Arabidopsis thaliana: one gene and its partners. The protein of the gene in region 3 interacts with the protein of the main gene of each other region in a biochemical or structural test. Each region holds a gene or a part of one and is shown on either strand. Other genes may lie near its edges. The genes, in order: PIF3, FHY1 and HFR1.

The links.
Region 1: the proteins of HFR1 (region 3) and PIF3 form a complex in vitro, tested with the Arabidopsis thaliana proteins (one study listed by BioGRID).
Region 2: the proteins of HFR1 (region 3) and FHY1 form a complex in vitro, tested with the Arabidopsis thaliana proteins (2 studies listed by BioGRID).

What each region holds. Positions count from the first base shown.
Region 1 is NC_003070.9:3,071,482-3,079,352, reverse strand, and holds the start of PIF3 (phytochrome interacting factor 3), read right to left. Parts: upstream 3,586-7,871; 5' UTR 3,501-3,585; intron 2,953-3,500; exon of another isoform or gene 2,895-2,952; 5' UTR 2,138-2,894; coding exon 2,067-2,137; intron 1,976-2,066; coding exon 1,096-1,975; intron 1,008-1,095; coding exon 900-1,007; intron 809-899; coding exon 743-808; intron 511-742; coding exon 445-510; intron 370-444; coding exon 1-369. Other genes in the region: AT1G09520 (uncharacterized protein), read left to right, coding at 7,323-7,871.
Region 2 is NC_003071.7:15,799,176-15,807,046, forward strand, and holds FHY1 (far-red elongated hypocotyl 1), read right to left. Parts: upstream 3,619-7,871; 5' UTR 3,522-3,618; coding exon 3,469-3,521; intron 3,148-3,468; coding exon 2,672-3,147; coding exon of another isoform or gene 2,646-2,671; exon of another isoform or gene 2,594-2,645; coding exon 2,514-2,593; 3' UTR 2,243-2,513; downstream 1-2,242. Other genes in the region: AT2G37670 (Transducin/WD40 repeat-like superfamily protein), read right to left, coding at 1-1,364; AT2G37680 (glucose-induced degradation-like protein), read right to left, coding at 4,325-4,403, 4,478-4,605, 4,702-4,764, 4,837-4,891, 4,977-5,050, 5,143-5,286, 6,137-6,195, 6,295-6,427; AT2G37690 (phosphoribosylaminoimidazole carboxylase, putative / AIR carboxylase), read left to right, coding at 6,936-7,165, 7,573-7,794. UniProt on the Arabidopsis thaliana protein: Key regulator of far red / red (FR/R) spectrum-specific responses essential for the adaption to changing light conditions (e.g. de-etiolation), essentially by regulating PHYA shuttling from the cytoplasm to the nucleus and by directly regulating the expression of some target genes, depending on light conditions and phosphorylation status.
Region 3 is NC_003070.9:464,885-472,755, forward strand, and holds HFR1 (basic helix-loop-helix (bHLH) DNA-binding superfamily protein), read right to left. Parts: upstream 2,997-7,871; 5' UTR 2,802-2,996; coding exon 2,800-2,801; exon of another isoform or gene 2,669-2,799; coding exon 2,302-2,668; intron 2,203-2,301; coding exon 2,074-2,202; intron 1,914-2,073; coding exon 1,848-1,913; intron 1,364-1,847; coding exon 1,049-1,363; 3' UTR 732-1,048; downstream 1-731. Other genes in the region: AT1G02350 (protoporphyrinogen oxidase-like protein), read left to right, coding at 4,934-5,087, 5,368-5,404, 5,487-5,598, 5,690-5,809; AT1G02360 (Chitinase family protein), read right to left, coding at 7,254-7,623, 7,784-7,871. UniProt on the Arabidopsis thaliana protein: Atypical bHLH transcription factor that regulates photomorphogenesis through modulation of phytochrome (e.g. PHYA) and cryptochrome signalings. Suppresses the transcriptional regulation activity of PIF4 by forming non-DNA-binding heterodimer.

The DNA of each region.
Region 1 (7,871 bases), 2.6 Mb from region 3:
AAACTGATCAGAAGACCCCTGTTTTCTCTTTATTGGTTTCAAGTTACTGTTGTTATTCGTCGTTGTTTGATCTTTAGAACCAGATAAATCTCTAGTCGAGCCATTGCCAATCGTCGAAGAACCGGCAAAGATACCACCACCAGAGACACGTGGAATACCCATCGCCACTGGTTGTTGTTGCATCCCCGAGACTTGGAACTGTGGTCCGTGGTTAACCGATGAACCACCACGGCTCAAATCAGGCAAGCCCATTGCATAAGGCATTCCCATACCCATTGCCATTGCAGCAGCTGCTGCCGGGTAATGCCCCATACCCGGTGGGAACATAACCGCCGGTGGCAGATAGTAACCAGACGCCATTGACATGATCTGTTGGCGATTATTGTGTTTAGATTATTAGTTTGCACGATTTTTATCGACTCTAGAGAGTAATGAGAGTGTTACCTGCACTTGAAGTTGGAGTGACTTGAGATACTCGATGGCTTCATCTAGCATCGAAGCTTTGTCCACCTTTAAACCATATAAATGTTACAAAAGCTGATTAAATACGAAAATTCTCGGCTTGAACAATCTTGCTTACAATATGGTTTCAATTGTTTTTCCGGTTTAATAAATACGGAAACCAATCAAAAACCTTTAGCAATTCGTTCTAAGATGCAAGTTTTAGTTTATTTGGCATTGCTCCTTATCTTTCAAACAAAAATGAATCATGAATGGTATTTGTAAAGGAGAAGAAGCTGACCTTGTTACAGTTTGGAATGAGTTCTTGCAGGGCACGCATCTTCTCGTTGATCCTATCACGCCGTCTCTGAAAATTGAGGACAGTAAGTTACCAAATATAGCAATCTTTTGTGAGTTTGAGAATGGACAAAAACCCTTTAGGGGCTTCACTCACTCACCCTTTCAGACAGATTATGCACTTCTGCAGAGCGGCTTCTCTTTGAACCCAAACCCGTTCGAGATGGACCTGCTTCCTTTCTTCCATCTCCTGATTCTTCTTCCACATCCTGCTCAACAATATTCAATAAAAAAACTGAAGAAAACAACAAAGAAACGAAATTGTAATGTGCATAAAATGACATGAGTTTAACTCACTTCACTATGACAGTCAATGTCTTGAATATTCGAATGCTTTCTCTTTAAAGAAAGTGAAGGACTTTCGGATGGGCCATCGAGACTATTACCCGAGCCAACAGAAGAACATACAACTGCTTTTTCACTCTCTTGGTCTTTTCTACATGAGTCCTCTGATATTAGGCAAGCCTTTTGGTTATCTTTAGGCGTAGCAGAAGCAACAGACTCGTTAAGAACCTTATCTTCAGAGTCTTTAGCTCCAAGAACTCTGGTCTGAAACACATTTGGCGGGCTTTGAGGACTCTTTTCTTTAGTGTCATGAAGGTTATTATTAGTAGTCTTCGCAAAAGTTGCAGGGCGTAAGAAATGTGAAAAGTTGACCAAACTAGGCTTGTTACTAGTAATTAGTGGTTCCTGCGTCTGAGTAAACCGATCCGGATTGGTTTGTTGGCTAGGAAGATCTCTAGCTCTATCACTTCCATACAGAGAATGCGATTGGAAACCGTTATACTGCGACGAAGAAGCAGCAGGAGCTGATTCATTGCCATCCTTTCTTCTCTGAAACAACGGGAAAGCAGTTTGGTTTACCGCCATATCACTCTCTTGCTCGTTGACAGTAACAGGAGACGACACATCACGCAAGAAATCAGAGCAATATCCATCAAGGGAGGGATGATGATTCAACCATGGAACAAAGTCATCGTCTTGACTCAAACCCGTCATTAGTGATGGCACTGACATAGGGATCTCGTCCACCATAGTCGTCTTTGAGCCATTTCCAATCTCTCTAGCTCTAGAAGAGTTTGCTTGTGGTGGAGGAATGTTCCTCGATCTACTTGACTGACTTTGAGTTGATATCTGACCATTTTCCCACACCAGCTCCACAACTTCATCTACAGGTCTGTTATTTTTCACACACAACAAAAAAACACATGAATTTGATGAACTTGAAACAAGGCAGACTTAAAGAGAGACAAGTGAATGGGACTCACGGAGAAGGGTTCCTGTCTTGAGCAGATTCAAGCTTAGCTTTGGTGAGCCTGAAAAGCTCAAACAGAGGCATGGTGTTGCGTTTTACAGAAACAATCTTTTACGAAGTCTTGATCCTAAAAAGGTGAATTCATAAAATAGACGAATTAGGCCAAGAAAAACTTGCCAGAAACAAAAATTGTACACTTTGTAATGCTTAAATTAGAAAACTTTTCAGTTCCCAAATTAGAAACTGGGAAATAAAGAAATAGAAAAGAAATCAATGTCTCAATCATCAATATGCAATATAAAAAAAGCAGAGATTTTCACTTAGTTTAATGGCAACATGATTAGTCAAATCAAAACCAATTGTTTAATCACACTGAAGAACGATTCAAAACAGCGCACTCAAGACCTAATTAACCATCTCTTAAGAAAACCAAAACAAAAAGATCAAAACTTTGATCTTCTTGTCTGAATAAAGCTATCATCGTAGCTGACCTGAGAAAAAGGGTACTGAAGCAATCGAAGTCAGCGAAGAGAGAAAGAGAGAGTGAGAACCTCAAAGTATTAAAGTGGCATCAATCCAAATGCAGAGAACAGAGGAGAAAAAGTCGGCGAATTGGAGTAGTCCTGAGAAAGTAGGCGGAGAGAGAAGGAGATGGAGACAAATCGACGCACAAGACGGACGCAGAGAGAGAAGAGAGGGGACCAAATCGTCTGTAACTGAGGATTTTGATTTTTTGTTTTCACAGTCTCTGAGACTCCGTTTCTCTCGAACATTCAACCTTTTAGCGTCGCCCGAATCATTAGCTCTACTCTTTACCTTTCTCTCTATTTTTCTTTTCTCCCTATATTTATAAACACATAATTAAAGAGAAATTGCTTCATATAATCAAATATTAATTATGTCAATGATTATATATAGTGGATTATATATGTTGCACTAAACATTGCAACAATTTGTTAAAACACACACCAAATACAATTCTACCATGTTTGTTTGTTTTTTTTTGCAAATAAAATGATGAATTTTTGCATACAAATAGTCGATCGTATGATTACTTTGATAAAAATTAAAGACAATGATAATTGCGTATGTATTGTTTTATCAAATAGTGTTCATTCTCTTATTTTAATAGATGGTCAATTCTCTAATATACTAACAAATCAGAAATACTATCTATAGAACCATCTCACTGAGATCTTTGTGATTAAACAAAGTATTGATTACTTTTTTGGGCATGTTGTAGGTATCGAGACAAGTTTAATAATTATCGTAAACAAGTACTAGTTGTTGTATTAGTAGTGGTTTTAGGCTATTAGTAGAAATAATTAATGTTTAATTAGATGTACTATATATAAATAAATTACGGTATTATACAATCCTTCAATTGATATGGTAACTGCTTTCATAAGATATTGTTATTAAACGAGAAAATTAAAGCAAAAGGGACCTAGAGAAGAGAGTTGGAGCATGGTGACCAAATTGCTTCTCACCGACCTCTGCACACTTCGTCTGTCTCTGTTACATGATACAGGTCCTTCGCATTATTACAATTAATTCATGGTGTGTCTATGAATAATTTAATACACTTACAAATATGAAAATAATCATATACTAGAATATGTTATCTTATCTTAAAGTGACATGGGCCTGTGATACACTAAAGTTGTGTGTGAAGAGATGTGTTATCATAAAGGAACACTGCCAAAAAAGCATCACACTCCAAGTGGGGTTGAGCAACCTTGTCTCTCTTTATCTATCTTAATTATTAAAGGTTTGACTTCTCTAATCATTACTATTTTTCTTAAGTCTTTTTTAGTCTTTACGATACTAAATTACTAATCATCCTCAAATTTGGGGACTCACTCAGCAAGTTCTATTAACTGATGAAAACCAATCATTTGCGCTATAATAATTGAGATTTTTTTTAATCATGGGATATAGTATGTGGTATAGTGGTTCCAAACTCTTAGATTAGAGCATATTATCTTTAAATCTAATTTGTTCCTTTCTATAAGTAAAAAATAAATAAAACCATCTAGAATATCAGTCGAGTTTGTTCACGAACGTTGCATCTTCTGGTTTATCTCTCGTTATAGCTCGGTTGATGATGAAATGTCAATTAAATCGCCATGCAAATTAGATTCTAAAATACGTAACAACCCATTGTATACTATAAACTTTCCAAGTGGATAATTTGAGTACATTTGCATGGACCATTATTGATTTCATCACTGTATTTTATGGCCATCTCTTGTTCAGAAAATAATTATAAACAAATTTATTATAAAATCAAACCGAGTAAATAAATAAGTAGATATATATATCAAAGAAAGAAGAAAACTCGGAATGGAAGTGATCCTACTATATTATTTGGGAAGTACATTTGAAATATAATCTTCTTTTTTGTAAGTAATTATATAGGTATGCCATTAGAAATAAAATTTTAAAGAGTAAATTAATTCATTTCTTTAAAAATTAAAGAGTCAAATACTAATTTAATTAATTAAATTTAACTCAAAAACGAAATACATTATTAATTTCCAGAAAAGTAACCAATTAAAATCAACAAATTAGATTTGATATCTAAATTATCATATTAATTTTTAAAATGTAACCTTATTTTTTGTAAGTAATTACATACGTATGCCATTAGAAATAAAATTTTAAAGAGTAAATTAATTCATTTCTTTAAAAATTAAAAAGTCAAATACTAATTTAATTAATTAAATTTAACTCAAAAACGAAATACATTATTAATTTCCAAAAAAGTAACCAATTAAAATCAACAAATTAGATTTGATATCAATATTATCATATTAATTTTTTATTAATTATTATAATTCACCTCTCATCTTTATATGATTCTATTTTTGCGAAAAAATAATATCATCGTTATAAAAAAATAATTAGAGTTTTTTCGCATATGCCACAATTTGAATTTTTAAAAACGAATATAAATTGTTCAGTACATGAAAAAAATACTATAACGGGTCAAAAGTAGATTTAAGAAAAAAAATTACTGAGTACTGTGTCATAATTTGAATATTTATATTCAATTTCATACATATTATTTTAAAATTTATAATCTTATATACTACAATAATTAATAACATATTAGATTTTTTAATGTGTATGATGTGATTCAATTTTTAATACAAGCTGAAAAATCCTACAATTGACGGGTTTAAATCAATATTAATACAAGATGGTATACTACATGTGAAACTCTAAAATTAACAATCAAAATACAAGTATATAATTTTAAACACTAAACAATATAAATAATATCAACAAAACATATACAACTCGTAGTTTCTATACATTTAAAATCAAATAAAATAATATCATATATTTATAATCAATTTTACAATAAAAGTTTTTAGTTTAACTAAAATATAAGCCTATCTGCTGTATAATGCAAGTTAAAATTATAAATAAGCAGATTACCATCACGATGGATGTACCTTCTCACATACACACCTATCAAAAACTTAAAACCTTTCAAAACCTCTTGGTATATTCAAATTAGGATTCTTCATTCATGGAATCATTATTCCAAAGATTTTGGGATGTCTTATGAAATGATTTTGGCAGAAGAGGATGTAAATTTTTTTGAATAAAAAGTACTCACCAAAACATATGTTTATTGGGATTTTTTAGATAATTAAATCAGAGAATAGGGCTGGACATATGAGTAACCCATTCGAGTTCATGTAGAACCCGTTCGGGTTTGGGATTAATGGGTATATGATTTACTATTTAATAGAATAATTCTAAATATTCGGTTCGGGTCGCGTCCAGTTGGGTTTAGGTCAGTTTGGATAAAAAGTTTCAGGCCCTAAAAGTACTCAAAAAATAGAAACGGATATTTTGTATGTAAATAGTGCGTCTCCAAACAAAAAAAACTTTTAAATTTATTAAGTTTTAATAAATTTAATTTAATTTAAATATATTTTACTAAAGTTTGACAAATATAACAAATAATTTTAACAAACATAGCAAACATAACAAAGTATACAATTTAATTTATATAAAATATTAATGTCCGTGCTATATACGGGTTATGATCTAGTTGCTATATGTTAGGCCAAAACTCAAATAAAATGACAAGACCCTGTCCCCGCACAATTCTCTCAATCCGCCGTGGAATAGGCCAACAACAGGTTTTTGATCACTTACTCTACATTCTCTACAAAAATAAAAGATCTGATCTTTAGCTAGCCGACCACGTGCCAGAAGTTTATACTGGCATTAATCTTTTACCTCATTATCATGAACAACTTAGGAAAGAGAACCCTAGCTCATTTTTTTTCTTTCTTTTCTTAGAACTGGCCCTTCCACAATTTAAAAGGTCAGATACATTTGCTATATATATTATCAAAACGTCACTTTACGTCAACACAAAAGCAAATTTGTTGGAGAAGATGATCATGATCAGCAGGTAAATTATTCTCGACGATGGTGATAGATGATGAGTCGATACACGTGGTGATTTTTGAGGGCACAAGAGATGTGACACATGTGACATATGCTATTACAATCTGGCATATTCTATATGAACAATATAGAAGAAAATAATGCGTTTCCTTTTGGTGCAAAATGCTTTTGTTTGTCTTTTCCTTAATTTGGTGCAAAATGTTGACCAGAAACAATATATCGAACAAGAATCGGTATGTATGTAATGTATATACGTATATTATGCAAAATACAATGAACTTCTACACGTTGACACGCTTTGCCGTGTCCCTATCCTCATAATCAAACACGTCCCCACTTCCTTGGATAGTCCAAAAAAACTAATCAATCTCAACTATAAACCAAACCCAATTCAGATTTTTGTCAATTTAAAATTGAATCAGAGACAAAACCAAATCCACATTATTGTATCTTTACCACAAACTGGTTGATGAATTTAATACGGTTCGGTGCTCTTAAAAGTTTATGCGACACTGTTTAATACAATCAACAACCTTTTGTAGAAGAATTATGGAACGGTAGATAGGTGTTAAACCTTAAATTTTTATTGGGCCTTACTCATCAGCCCACTATAATATCTGGCCACATTCGTCTCTTTGGTCTCATCCGAGTCAGAATTAACAGAAACAAGTGGCTAGATATTCAAGTGGGCTCAACAGTTACAATCATTTGGCCCAAGTAAGTAAAGCCAACATAGCCTAACAAATCGATTAGTGCCACGTCAACCCTCTTCCTCGATTGAAAAGAGGAGTAAACCCTAATTTCCCAAAATCGCAAAGACCAGAGAGACACTATGAATCTTCCATCGTCAACGACGGCGACGTCAACCTCCGCGACTTCCGATGCAGCGGCGAATTCCACCGAAAGATGCGATGATTGCGGAAGCTCAGACGCCTGGGTGATACACACAGTACGTCTCCGTGCATCTCTCCGCTTCTTCTGCACTCATTGTCTCCTCCGCAACCATCCGGCGTCGTTTTGTCCCGGTTGCTTCGCCTTGTACGATTCATCTCCGCCGTCTTTTCGCCGCGTCTCTTGTTCCATTAAAGGGTGCCACTCCTTGACTCACATTCACTGTGCCGGCGATGAAAGTCACCTTTCTTATCTCTGTCCTCCTTGCCGAGACCCTAATTCCTTCTCCTTCTTCCGCCCTATCGTCGACGAAAACGGCTCTCGCTTCGTCGATAAAGCACTCTCCGAAGCTTTCTTATGCGCTGCTAAGATCGCTGCTTCTTCAATGAACAAAGCTGTTATGACCGCTAAGTGTGAAACTGACCGGAGAGGAAAAGAAGCTGCTTTGGCGAAGAAGAGAGCTCGCGAGGCTCTTGAGCAGGTTGTCATG
Region 2 (7,871 bases), on a different chromosome or scaffold from region 3:
CAAAGTGAAGGATGAATAGGAGTGAGACTTCCTTCATTCATAGACATTAGTTCACATTCTTGAACCTCCCACACATGAATGACTCTATCCGCTCCTCCGCTCGCTAGATAATGAGCATCTTGACTAAACTTGATAGTCCAAACCGCACCCTCATGAGCTTGAATCTCTTGACACATATGTAAAGCACTTAACTCCTTGTAAGATTTCCCTGTTGGTCTAACTTTCACCCACTCATTAGCTTTACCATGTTTATGATCTTTCCCCTTTTTCGGACTATCAGTGCTTCCATCGCTTACATCTTTATCCGCAACGCGTAAACTCATGGAATGAGCTACACCTTTAATGTTCTTCAACAATGCAGCTCCTCTTCTCTTACTTAACCTCACACTCTTGGAAAGATACGAATTAAACTTGCGAAGATCCATTAACGGTTCGTAGTTAATCCTATTCACATTCTCTCTACGCATAAGCTCTTTAACCACAGGTGAATAACCAACACATTTCTCAAACTCCTCCAAAGTTAATTGCTTCCCTGTTTGCAGATCACTAAGCCTATTCCACATTCCATCTTCATCATACTCATTCACTATAAACTCTTTCCCTGTATCAAGATTCTTTATCAAGAAAAACGCGCCAACCCTCGCATTCGACATTACCGATGTCAACGCCTCTCCACCACCGCGCAAAGCTTTTCCATTTCCACAAACCGCAGGTGTTTGTCTGATCGGAGTTTGGTACTGACAAATCCTTGTCCTTGTAGGACAAATAGTAGAATACGTTCTTGTAAGACGCTGCTTTGAGATTTTCCCTAAAATCTCTTCTTTTCTTCGTTTCTCAATCAAGAACCTCTCAATATCTGATTCCGATCTTGACCTCGCAAGCATAACCGGAACATGATCATGATCTTGTTCATCAACCTCATGATTCATCTTCTTCTTCATCTTCTTTTCTTCACCGTTACTAACAACAGGCGCATTAGAAACAACGCGACGAATGGAAACAGCACTAACCATATCTTTATTACTAGCAAGTCCCATCCCATGGAGAAGACGACGACGACGCTCAGATATAGATCCCGGAGCAGCCATCCAAATATCGTAATCAGGAGACATCGCCGGCGTACGAAATTTCCTAGAGGCGGTGGTTAAGGAAGAGACGGCTGAAGAAAACGAGAGTCGACAATCGTCGAAATCTTCATCTTCATCGGAAGAAGAAGCATTAGCCATGTCGAAAGTTAAAGCAGAAGAGAGACGATCATGAGTTTCGAAGAATCTATCATCATCTTCATCTTCAAAATCTCCTAATCCTTCCCAGTTCATCGTCATTGTCTTCTTCCGATCCAATTTGTTTCCATCTTCCATCATCTACCAACTAGCTCCACCGAATTTGAAAATGGTGATTGAAATCTGAAATCAGAAAATTTGGCCGATCATTGATGATTCAGAGGCACCGTTATGGAATGATGGGCAAATCGGGAATTATGGAGGAAAGTGTTGAAGACGTGTTTTGTCTTTTTGTAAGACACATCGATCTCTTCACGTTCAATTTCATTACCATAAGTCCATAACTAATAAAAATGTTTGATGATGTTAATTAAGATCTTAAGTCAAAACCAAAGGTCGTGGAAGCATGTTTTGCTTTCGTTATAATTCAAACCTTAATTTACGTTTTGTTCGACTATTAGTGTGAACAAAATCATATACTATGTTCGACTTTACGTGTTAAAGATACTTACATAAAATTACTAAGGATAACTATTTTTAAAGTTTGGTGTTAATTTCTTTTTAATCAACAATTTTTTGTTTTTGTTTTTTTTTGCTATTTTTATAGCGAATTTAAAACTACTAGACATTGACCAAGAAGACTGATAATGCGAGGGAACCACATTCTAGCAAATCTTGAGTCTTGACCATCATGCCAAAATGTTTTACTAGGAAGAATATCAATAAGCTATCATCTTTTTCTTTATTAAATCAGTTTAGATTTTACATTAGAAAGGAACAAGTTGAATATTAACAAGACTTTTGACCATAATAAGAAAAAGTTATGAATTTTTGTATTATGTTCAGAAGAGAGTGTATTGGAGATAATTTGGAGAGAGCAGATTGAATATAGGTGACCAACCAAAAAAAGAAGAAGATATCATCTGAACAAACTTATTAAAGAACATTGACTCTCATTTCTCAGTTAAGTTGGTACTGAAATACATCAGGGATACTCTTGAACACAAGATTGGTTCATATGAAGGATCAGAGTGTCATAATCATCTCAGAATTTTTTTATACTAACTTTTATTTCTGATCCAGGCAGAACAAGATATATAAGCAAGATTAGTTTTGCAAGCTAATAAAAATCTTAAAAGTTGAAGACTAGAGTTGCAAACATTTCAAAGAAGCTCTCTAATCACTTTGAATTGAACGTTTTTTTAAGGTTGACAAGAATCAAAACAGAACGAGTACAGTTCTATGTACATACATCTCTTCATATATGTTTTGAGTCTCAACATCATTTTGTTACAGCATTAGCGTTGAGAAGTATTGTTCAAATTCTTGATCAATGGTAGGCTTCTTTGTCTCATGTAGAGTAGAATCATCTGTACACATGAAACCAAGTTAGTGAATCCCCGGTTCATTGAATCAATACGGTCAAACCAAAATCCGGTTTTCTTTACCTTGGTTAACAGTCCATCTTCCAGAGGACAGAACAAACTTAGCAGCATTACTACTACATCCTTTAGCATCTTCCTCTTCTTCTTCTTGTTCATCGAGATAGAGAATGTTTTCAATGACTTTCTCTGAAAAATCCTCTAAGTTCTGAGTCCCATAGATGTAATCTAGATGGCTTTCGAAAGAGATCATCTTGTCTTCACCGCATGATCCAGATGATTCCTCTTTCATCTCTATATCATTGTTACACTCCATAGAAGTTGTTGAGTTCACATAAGAAGACATTGAATACTCTGTATCAATCTCCGAGTTACCATTTGTATTCTCTGAACAAGCAACATTGGCAAAACAAGTGTGTTTTGACAGAGGTAATAACGATAACTCATCAGATTGATCTGTCTGAAATTTCCTCTTCTTGCTCACCTCAACTTCTTCCATTTTCAACACATTTTTACTACTACTTATGATCATGTGATGGAAACTGCAAAAAAAAAGAACAACACATATTAAGATAGTGGATGGATCTTAATCACCAAATATATGAAATTGACTTTATTAATCTTGAACTTAATAAGGGTTTAGGAAAGAATAACAGGAAAACTTTCTTAATCTCAACGATTAAATAAGCTAAAATCAAGATAAAACTTCAATCATCCTCTGCAGCTATGATTTTTGGTCAACCATTGACATGAATACATACATAATCAGTCAATCCTCTGTATCTTAAAGAAACTGAGAAGAAGCATAATAAGAAATTTGATCTCTAATGATAATATATAGGAATAGATTGAGAAACTGAAACCTGTTAATCTCAGATGGCTTCTCGTTGTTGTTATCCACTTCCACTTCAGGCATAGATCGCAGAGAGAGAGAGAGAGATAGAGAGAGTTCAAAGATAATTGTTTTTCTTATTACTCTTTTAAAAAATGCTCTTTCCACTTTCAGAGGGTCTGAAAATCTGGAAACTGCGTAACTTAAAATACATAAATTAAGCATCAAGTGTACGACGCGCTACGTTGGAGCGTGTATTACACGAAACATTTGAATCCGTTGATCTCGTCGACATGGTGTTTGATTTGGCGCGTGAAAAGAGTCTACGTGTTGGCGAGGTGACCCATCTTCTTACACGGGACCGTTTTTTATTTTTATCTTTCGCTCCATACGATTTTGCAATCTTTTTTACTATTGTCCCATAACGATTTTATGGGCTTTTGGATGAGGATGTATAAATATTTATCAATTTTTCCCTTACATAGGTATAAATATTCATTATCTTACAAAGATAATAGTTTATAAATTTTATATCATTATTTAAAGAAAATAATATGATGTAGAACTGTCTTTTTAAATTTCTATTAAAAACTTAATTTTAGAAGAATTTGGATTTTTTTTACAAAAATTTTTAGAAAAACTTCTCAACTATTTGGTAATTATTTTTTTGGACAATTTGTTCTTTTTCCAGATAAACTATTAGCTTGGTACCATAATGACAAAATAGTATTTTTAGTTCTTTACTTGGTCTGGTCTACTAGCTAAGCAAAAAAATATCTTACTAATAATTTATAATAATTGACACGTCATAATGTACTGGATCACGTGCATCGCATGTTTAGACGAGAGTATCATATGGCGCTGTCTGATGATTTTGGTAGCATTCATCATTGCAACTCGTAAGAAGAAAAGCTGAAACCAGATCTTCCTTCGTTAACTGTTTTCAGCTCCAGCTTCTGAAACGGACTGTCCAGAAACAAAATATCATCAGGTTTTATCTCAAACAACAACAGATTATATAGTTTGTATCTTGGACTAACCTGCTGTTTGGATCATAATAGAAACCGCTGATGGAACCATCGCTGCAGGAGAAGCATACGTAGTAAAATCCAGCTATTGTTAGTCCACAATCTGTGCCAACGTTTACAAAGTATTGCTCTTTCCATCTCTGCACCACCACAAAAATAAACCCGAGTTGCAGGAATTATGGAATACTTGAGAGAAAATGATGATTGGATTCGATAGGAAAAACTGAGAGTTATACCATAAATATATAAGGATAATTGTTAAGATCCAATTGCCTGCCACCATCAGATTCAACTTGTCCCTGCAGTATTAAGTCCAGAACGTTGCTTAGGAGATGTTACTGACTATACAAACAATGTTACTCGAGTGTTACCTGAAGAGGCGAAAAAGACGGGAACTTTGACCAATGTCTCATATCATCTTCCCTCCTGTGACAAACAAACTTTCAAAAATTTATTCACGATAAGAAATCATCAGTTTCAAATCTACAAGAATATAGGAATTGGGACATACGTTGCTTCCCATTTTCCGGTGTAAAAGGTATAATTCTTTCCATCAACGATTTCCCCTTCCCAGAATGTTATGACCTGACACTCACAGAATCAAGAATCGTGTCCCCTATTAGAAATTCAAGGGGAAGCAATATGAAGAAAAAATGAGTAAGAGTGTAAGGGCTTACAGGAGTGTCTGCCATGGGAACGTTTAGAGCTTCCATGGTGCCACAAAGATAACCATGTTCAAGGTCAATACCCTGTATCTGGACGTTGACTCTCCAAGCTTCCTCCTTCTGTTGATTAGAGACATTTTGCGTACCAGAAAATGCCTGCAGCACAGCATAAAAACATGTGTGTTCCTCATCTTTAGGTTCATTATGAATAAACAATCTCTTTGAGCCAATGAATGTTATACAATCCCAACTAGATACAAATGCACTTGAATTAAGCATACATGTCAACATGAAAAAGATATGAAGCCAATCAAAGCAGACAAGGCCAACTTCTAATTGGTATAACAAAAATCAGCATTACTAGAGAATCGTTATGCAACCAGAACACTTGAACAAGTTGCAGATCTAATGGGAAGAAAGTAACTAGACCCATGATGTTTGTTGCCTGCCTATGAATGATGCTTTGTGCCTGAACAACGAGACACGAGATCTTTAAGTTCTTTTATGCTAACCTAAGTAGCTAAACATCATGGAAACTTATAACTTTCCTTCTCATCTTACCATAGCCTCTCTCTCACAAATTTCACATAAAGTATACTAGCAAACCCTTGTGAAGCAAAGTTTCTTCTATAACTACCACAGCCAATCGACAGAATCAACAATAAAAAAATTAGCTATTCTTGTGATTTCAAGTATTCATAAGTAAGAACTTGTCAAGTTTGAGAGAAAATTCACCTTTACACATAAAAACCCCTAAGATAATGTCTTTATAGGTATACTCAGATTCTGCTTACACATAAGGTTATGTTCATAAAAAGAGTGTGCATACATAACCACAGATGCACAAGCATAACTAATAAAGTTCTTTCTAGTCCTAACCAATATTCCCAAGACCTCTATGGTCAGACACTTGAGAGAAAAACTTGTAAAAATCCAAGTATCATACGAATCCTAGAAATAAATTTCTGCAAAATAACATGTTTTGTTAATTCATTAATCGTTGTACCTGGCCAGCGCCGAGAAGTGAACTAGGGGGAAGTGGTGATCGATTCCCAGGATCAGTTCCTAAATGGCAACAAATCTCAACAAATGAGCGAGAGAGCCACAAAGAGGGAACATAAACAAACAAACCTAAATTCAAAACTTGAAGAAGCGATCAAAAACCTGAAACTTGAGCAGGCGTGTTGCTCTCAACAACTCTCACCGGCATTTTCTTCCGTCTCCTCCTTTCCGTCTGATAAAAATCCGATCTTTGGTGCGACCAAATCAAATCGTGGAGCCTAATCAAAAACCACATCTCATCATACCCGGTTCGGTTTTCTTAACCGAATCAAATTATACATAAAACGGATTAGGCTTCTCCGGTTTTCGACTGCGTTTTGTATAAAACCTCTCAAAAACCTTTTCTTCTCTCCCCGTCAGACCGATCTTCTCTCTCCTCGCCGCCGCCTCCAAATCCGGAAGAAGCTTTTTTCCACCTCTATTATCGAACTTGCTTTATAAAAATCTAACCTTTGGACCTGACTTTCCGACTTCTCTCTCTGTCTAGCTGCTTCTCTCACCCAGGTTTGCCTTCCTCTCAAGTTGAAGCTGCGGCTTTATTAGTTTAGCTATTGACTCTAAGAATGTTACTTGAATCCATTCACATGAGCTTCTTACGTCGTTTTCATTGGTTTAGCTATTGACGTTGACTTGGGTTTTGCTTGAGTTCATTCTCTATTGTGGTCTACCATACTTTTTCATGTTACTTGATTGCATATTTATAAAACGGTGCTAAAAGTATTCCGTTTTGTATAGCATTCTAGATGTTGCTTTTGAAACAAAGCTCAGCTGCTGTTCTTGTCGTTGGAAATACAACTCCAGTCCTTCACACTTCTCGCTCCACCTACAGAGTTGGACCTTTTCCAGTGACCAGAACGCAGTCGTTCCAGAGTTTGACTATGGCAAATTTGCAGAAGCTTCCCACTTCTTCGTCTGGGAAATTGAATACGGCTTCAGCTGTGCCCTGTAGCTCTCACGATGCTTCTCCTATCAGGTACCTATGTCCCCTGTATTGAGTATAATGGTGTCAACCATTCTTCTTAAGTATTTTCTCGATTCTTATTATTTTCTTGGCTATTGTGGTGTGTTAAAAGATAAACGAGATTGGATCAATTAAGCTGAAAGGTGAAAGTCGTTGTATTTAAACCACATATCAATTAAGCCTGCATATATTAATCTGTGAAAATGAAGAAAAATTTCTCTTTTCTTGTAAGTTTCATGGACATGAGAAGTTGCATAGCTGTTGTGGTTAAGATTGCATCACACCAATTGCAATGACGAATAAAATATAGAAACTAGCTGTGCTTCCCTGCTCGTTTCTCTGTTACTAGACACAAAGATTTGAAAATAGTAAGACTGGGGAAGGAATTTCTAATGTTATTTATCTTTCCTCTTTGCAAGTGAGAATCGCGAGAATAAACATGTCCATGGAGTTTCTGAGAAAATTGTGGGAGTTCTTGGGGGTGGACAATTGGGTCGTATGCTTTGCCAAGCTGCTTCTCAGTTGGCTATCAAAGTGATGATTTTAGATCCTTCTAAAAATTGTTCAGCAAGTGCATTGTCCTACGGTCACATGGTTGATAGCTTTGACGACAGTGCTACAGTAGAAGAATTTGCAAAAAGGTCTCTTCTTTTGTTTGTTTCTTGAATGCTTCAGGTTCTCAATTCTTATTTTCATTACAATATTTATGGTTATTTTT
Region 3 (7,871 bases):
ATTAAATATATCCGTGAAAAGATGAATTTTATTTAACTATGAGAGAAGAAGCTCGAAGTTTTTGGTACTTATAGAATCAGAGACCAGTTTGATCGACAAGTCATTTGCTTGGCGAAATAAAAAACCAAACATTTTATTTGTCTTGACCAAACTAAGAAATGTACGTCATAGCTAATTAGTAGGTAAAACTATGCCTTTCTGACATTGTTTTTCACTAAAGCCAAGCCTTATTGAGACAAAAGGATATGTATTTGTAAAATAATACGTATATAAGTGTGCGCCTGTGTCTGTGCGTGTAGAATTTTTCTTTTTTTATATATAAATATGAATTGTGTCTCGAGTTTCGGACGTAATATTTCTTGTGTGTGTATTTACCTAGCTCAGAAAACAAAAGAAAAGAGATTATTACTCACAAGTCACAACTTTAAAACAGAAAACATTTTGAATTTTCCACAAAAAAATGAATATATCAACTGTGGAAAAGCGATGTGTAAACACAAAACGCAAATCAATAATTGATGTGTAAGAAAGTGATTAATAATTCTCGAAGTCAAGTTTCCTCATTTCTTCTTTTGATCTTTTCTCATACATCCGGCCCTATATTTGGCAGAGCCACATCCTAACTTCTAAGTAACATGCAGTGTGCAGAGGTAAGTTAATGTTACTTTTTGTACATTAACATTATCATAGTGTATGACCCACTGGTCCTGAATTTGAGATGCTGAAGATAAAGCTAGTTGGGATGCATGTAACCAAGTGTAAACGTTTGAGACGCTTAAGAATCAGGGAAATCTTGTTCCTACGTTCAATGCTCTTATAAGCATGTCTCAATATATTTTACAAAATATCAGATAAATGAAAAAATTGTTACATGCAAGAATTTATACAAAAAGTTTTAACTTATTGATTATTATTAATATACAAAACCACCCGGAAAAAAAAGTATATGACACAAATGGTTCACACAAACTGTCCTAATTTGGAACTCTTTTCTCTCTTAATTAGTCAACGATCATTTCACATAAACTTTTATCGAGCTACTTACTTATCATAGTCTTCTCATCGCATGGGAAGAAAAATCCAAGAAACTTGGGAAATAAGGAACCAAACCGTGAAGAGACTGAGGAGAAGAAGCTGGTGATGATGTTGTAAGAAATAGAGATTGACTAGATGAATGTGGGAATGAAATATTAGTAAACGGTGGTAATGGCCAATTTAACGCCGGAATTAGCGGCGATGGCATCATGTGATTCGCCGGATTTAGGCCGTGAGCCGAAGCCATTGCCGTCAGCATGTGGTTGTGCATTCCAAATCCTAATGTCGCCGGAAGAAAATAAGGATTCACCCCCACTGTTGACATCATCTGCAATTATAACATCAACTTTGATTACAACTTAGTTTCTGAATATAAATAGCACATATACATATTCGAATGATCAAAATGGGTACATAGTTCTATAAAATATAAAACATTTAGTTGGCACTAAATAATCACATGAAAAGAGATGAATTCGAAATATTAAAGAAATTCTATAGACTTCACCATCTAGGTTATCTACTGCCTACTATATATCATTCCATTTTTTTCGTCACTAAACACCAAAAAGTGGCTATATTTGTTTGATCAATTTGAAACCCATATTGTAAAACAATAATCCATATCTCATAAGTTGGCGAGTCAGATCGAATACCAAGAACAGTTTATGTCAACTAGTTAAATTAACCAAAAAAAAACTCAGACTATTAGATAAACACTTAAAACCTCAAGCCTCAATAATTCAAATATATGGAAGAAGAACACTGAATAAAGTGTGAAATAAAAATAGTGAATAAAGTTAAATATAGACCTGAAGTTGAAGTTGAAGGTTTTTCATATACTCTATGGTCTTGTCGAGAACCGAAACCTTGTCCGTCTGAAAACCGTAAAAAAGCACCACCCGTTATCAGAATTGGAAACTTAAGGCAAGATTTCTTCATATATGCAACGGAAGTAGCGGAAACTTATACGGAAAAGACTAGACACTCAATAGTTAAATTGAAACATTATATAGAAGGATCTATATACACACCAACCTTGTGACAATTAGGTACGAGTTGCTGTAGCTTACGCATCTTATTACTCATCTTCTCGTCTCTTCTTCTTCTCTTGGAACCTTTTCGAGTAACTGAAGGAACTTCTCTTGTAAACTCCTCCGATTCATCCTAAATTAATTAATTTTATTTATAGAAAGAAAAAATTAAAAACAGTGAAAAATGATAATACATAAGGTAACATGAAAATATATCTATGTATCGACTTACATCACTACTTAAGACCTGGATACGACGTTTTTTGGGGTTCTCATGTTTGTTTCTCAGATAAAATCGATGATCTGATCTCTCTGAAAAATCTTTAATATGATGATGATCATCAGTTTCAGAATGTTCATCAGGGACAACAACCAATAAATCCTCCTTCGCATTTTCTACTTCTTTATGAATCTCTGGAACAATCTGAAGATAATTATCAGTTTGATCATGATCAAAGTAGCCGTAGCCCCATTTTAGACCGTTGATTAGACGATCTTCATCACTTCTTGCTCTTTCTGACATCATGCCCTGATCTTTCACAGCAAGTGATCCGACGTCGTTTCTCCATCCCAATTCCATGAAAGCTTGATTATTCGACCTGCCAAGAAAAAAGTAGTAAACTATTAGGGTTTACGATACAAATCATTGATAAATTATTAAAGAAATAAATAAAGAGAATAACAAGGCAAGAAACCTAAACTCTGAAACCTCCTGTTTAATTATACTTACATGTTAGTTAAAGAGATATCGGAGATGAAAAGTTTGGAGAAGTGTTTTTTCTTTAGGGATTTCAGCTTTGTCCGAGAAAATGGTATCCCATACGCTTATGTTATAAGAGCGATCGGATCAGATAGATGGTATAGTTGTCAGCTACATTGGTGACCCACTTATATTGTGCCACGTTTCAAAGTATGTGTGGTTCGTTTGTTGCGTACACCGACAACAATAAAACAATTCGGCTAGATTCTAACATACAGCTACACGAGGTTATTATAGACATATTGATGTCATTTGAGTTCTTTGGAAACAATACTTTTTTGGATTCACAACAAACATTGTAATGAAAATATTGTTTTACTAAAATAATTAATACAGTAATTAAATTAGTTTTTATTTTGGAAAAGTATTGTCAAATAATTCCATTATCACAAATTCACAATGTACTTAAATGGATTATTATTCTGCTTATTGTTTTTATGATTCTATACGTAATTGTCCCAAAACTACGTCATAGTAGCATATATCGACTTTAGAGTAATCTTGAAATTTTGCACAGAAAGATAAAAGTAATCTTGATTAATCAATAACGTCACTAGATTCACTACCACTTTGACACATGAACATAGAGATAAATTTATCTTTGTACGTATAGAATGTATTCATTTATATATTGAGATTTGAGAGACAGTTTAATAGTATTTCTTAACCAAGAACTGTAATGCACAACGGGTAGGGCCATTTTTATCCGTTTAATTATTTTTCCCGTAATCTTATCGTTTATCATTGAATACTCGTCATTAAGCTTTATCTTTATATATATATAAAACAATGTAAAATATCGGATGTCTATTTGTTTATTTTTGGTCAGATCATCTCTAAATATAAAAACAAAAAGATGACGTCTCCGTTTGGAAAAAAAAAGGTTGACTACCACAAGTTTCATAATATAATCGACAAAAAAATATCGTCTGTAACAACGATAAGATTATTCGATCTCCCAATTGGTAAATTCGTTATTATGAAAGGCTTACAAAATTCAGTAACCAGCAATCATAATAATTTCAGAGTTATGATACTAGAGTTCACTTTTTTGTGCAATAATATAATGGTCGATTATTTCCAGCCTGAGAATGCATTTCATTTCATGACCATTTATGGATTCCTGAAAAAAGAATTCATTTAGGGTTTTATCCAAAATCCCACGTGGGTTGTGGGCTCTAAACCAATCCTATAACGAATCAGTTTTTTTTGTTTTCTGTAACCCCACGACACATTTATTGGAATTTTAGAGTCACGTCATCATCAACCATACACCGAGCAGGTGCGATGGTCCACATTATTACTATCTTTGATAAAAAAGGTCCACACTATTTTCCTTAATTAAAAAAAACTCCAATAATTACAACATATTCTGAATAAACAAAAATGACCTGGTTACTAAATATCAACAATCAAAAAAAAAAAAAAACAGTATCAAATTCTAATTTCGAATTAGTAGAACAAAAATACTAATTATTATTATTCAATTGACTAATGAATGTTAACTTTGTAGCGTTGAATCAAATGGGCCTGAAAAAAATCGAAAAAGAGAGAGAGAGAGGAAGAAGAAAAGGCGTGTTCACGTGATGCCCTCGTGATGGACATGGTGCTATGTCTGACACTTGGGTACTTTATATTTTGTTGGTGTCTTAGCGAGCGACGAAGCAAAACCACAGCCACTACATAGGTTTCCAATCTCCTTCACGACAACGACCTCTCGGAATATACGTTCCAATCTACAACTTCCCACTGTTCAATCTATTTGATATTATGGAAAAACTTTGCATTATTGATTCTTATTTTAATATTTTTCTCTTGTTCCCACCGTTTTGGTTGGAATCATATACTATACGAAGTACTATTTGTGTATCTAGTGGTTGATTGACGATTTTTATTTTTGTTGTACATTAAATGCAGCATCTATGATCTATCTATCTTCTTCTTTTTTTGCCAAATAGAACGTTATCTTTACTGGGCTTTTAGGTTAGCCCATGTAATGTTATTAACCCAAATATGAATTTATTAAGGGCCCATCAATGAGGAGTGAAACATGTTAGACAAAACTGAGAACAGGCCTCTACTTCTTCTTTTCGTAGCGATCGCCATGGAAATATCAAATGTCTCTTCTCCGTCCGGCGGTGTCGCAGCCATTTCTCTCATAATTCTTCTCCGTCCTCGGTTACTTGCTTATGATTCTACTAATCTCTGTTGTTTCCGGTTGATCAATCGTCGATCTTCTAAACTCGAAGGCGGAGGAGGTATTACCGTGACGGCGGATTGACTGATCCTCAGCGGAGTATGTATCTTGACACGCGAGGAAAAATGTTTTTTTTTTTCCCTTTTCCTATTGTGGTTTCGATCGAATTCGCTTAATTCGATTTTGTTACATGAAGCGTTAAATTGAGCCAATGTATATGATTTCGAAAGCAAAAATTAGTTATCTACAGAACAAATTGTCTTGTATCTGATAGTTTAGTGGTTTGAAATTCACTAAAAGAGTTTTAGTAGAATGCTCTGTCTTGGTTTAGTGGATTTAAGCCTTGTCGTTGTTTGCAAGTTTACTAGAAGAGTTTTGGTAGAAGCTCTGTTTTTGGTTTAGTGGATTTACATTTGTCGTTGTGTGCGTAATTCAGGTAGATATTGTTTCCCATTCCCAGGTTTGTGTTGTGGAATGGGAAACTGAGGCCGCTTCTGTCAAAGCCAAAGGGCCCAAACAGTTGGTTCTTTCAGGAAAGGAATCACAATGTTGCCAGAGGCAATCTCTGCAAGGTATTGTATTATATGCTAATGAATCTGTTTTCTTTCACCCTTTTCAATGAGAACAGTGCAAAAATCATTATCTTTTTTTTTATTTGGGCAGGTTGAGTTGCAACTTGCAAAGTTAAGGAAGCTCTCAAGTATTACTAAGATGGATAGCAGAGGATACAACTCGACTTATGAAACTCTGAGGGGATATTCTCTGTACAGAGCAAAAGTGTAGCGATGACTGCTCCATCTCATGTTGCTAACAGTCTTTTTCCCCCAATTTTCTGTTAAGTTTTTGGATTTGTGAAACCAGTTGTGTGCAAATTCAAGTAGATACGTTTGGGATCTTATGTTTTGTCGCCAAAATTCCCATATACAAGCTTGTCGATTGAATATGCATACTTAAACTATCTTAATTCTTAAATCATGTTGGATTTGTAGACTTTCCCAATGATGAGTGACTTGATGATAAAGTTGCTGAAGCTGTGGTCTTTCATCATCTGGTCATGATTGATGGATATTCTTTGGTGGCAAATATGTTGCTGCTGGTGTCGCATTGGGTCGGTGTGTGGAAGGGGCTTACCCAAGCCAATGATTTCATTTATAGGTCCGCTTACAAGTAAGAAAATTATTAAACGAAAACCAATTAGATACTAAGATTGCAGATTAGACTTTGACAAGACATAAGTATGTGAAGGTTCCCATTAATATCCTCATAAGTGATTTTACAACTTGTGGCCAAAAGAGCAAAAATTACACAAAGCGGGAGAAAGATAGTTTAAGTCTAGAACAAATCGATCATAACTCTTGAATCTTGCGGATCTTCGTGAAGAGGTGAGATCTTGAAACTGTCGGGTCTTGGAGATTTCTGTTGATGCGTGTAATGGAAAGATGGAGAAGAAGAAGATGGTGTAAGAATTATGGAGGAAGAAGAAGGGAATTCAGAGATTGTAGGGTGAAGGATTTGTGTGAGTAGAAGAACAATTGACGCCATTGATGATCAACTTCGAAAAAGCTTTGTATATTTAGGGTTTTGGTGTAGATTTTGTTTTCTCATGTGATTCTTATCTGCCTTTTATATATAGAGAGAGAAAAAGTGGGCCTGTGGTATTGTGGATCGATGTTGTGTGTTTTAGAATCCAGTGGGACTCTTAAATCTTTGGGTAGCAGGCAGCAAGTGGTTTTTGTCTGACTTTTGTGTCGCATTTATATCTCGCCCCCAAAACCAGCTGTTCCACCTGGCTTAGGATTCTTCTTCTCTGCTTAATTTTGGTATTAACAAACATAAACCATAAAATTTAATATTCAAAATATTAATTTTACTTGAAATACGATCTACAAAGACATTAAATTTTATGGAGATTCATGTATTAATTTTTCGTATGCTTATTATTAGAAAGCAAAAACCATAGTAGTAACATATTCTTTCATGCAATAAAGGGTGGCCAACATAGTGGTTCTTTGTTGAAAATGAGATAAAATAAAAACATCAAGAAATACCATGGGAATTAATTTTAATTAGGTAGTAGTTGAAATCAAAACCATCAAATCACATTAAATTGAATTACATTATTGAATATAAACCCCTTTTATGGCTCCATGTGTGGGCAATGCCATAAACATACATGTTGACTTTTTGTTTATAAACATACATATTTCGGGTCAACCAAATTAATTGTTTAAGCATAAGGCCTTTGATTTTCACAGTCCAAATTCGGCCCAGTTGCTACTTTAAACAGCCCAGTATATCTCTGAAAAAACCCGATTCGGTCATTGACCCGTCCGTCTCCAGGAATCCCACACTCTAAACCGCCATTTATTATATTTGTGGTTAAACCAAACCCGCCGGTCCGGTTAGCTGCCAAATCCGCCGCCGTAGGTCGGTATTTTCCGATCATGACGTCATGGCACGAAGGTTTGGGACTCTGTGGCGTCATCCAAAACCAAAGTGCTGTTTGAAAAGCTATCACTGAATTATTTGACACCGTTTCTGGATTCCTTAGACCGTCGAATCCTAAGGCTCGACCGGCCGGTCCGTAATTGTAGTTCCTTATATCCCAAAAAGTAAAATGACAATTAGAAAATAATATAATTACGATGTGGAATCTTGCATGGTATAGTTTTATACAAATCGAAAACTATAAATGATAGAATTCAAAATATATATTTGAATGAAGATACGGACCACTATTAGTGAAAATGAACCTACCACGATAGTTGAATTGGACCTCTTCCTTGATAAGTCTTGTTAGGGAAACAAGGCCACTGTGTATCAGAAGAATCACAATAAGTGCTTT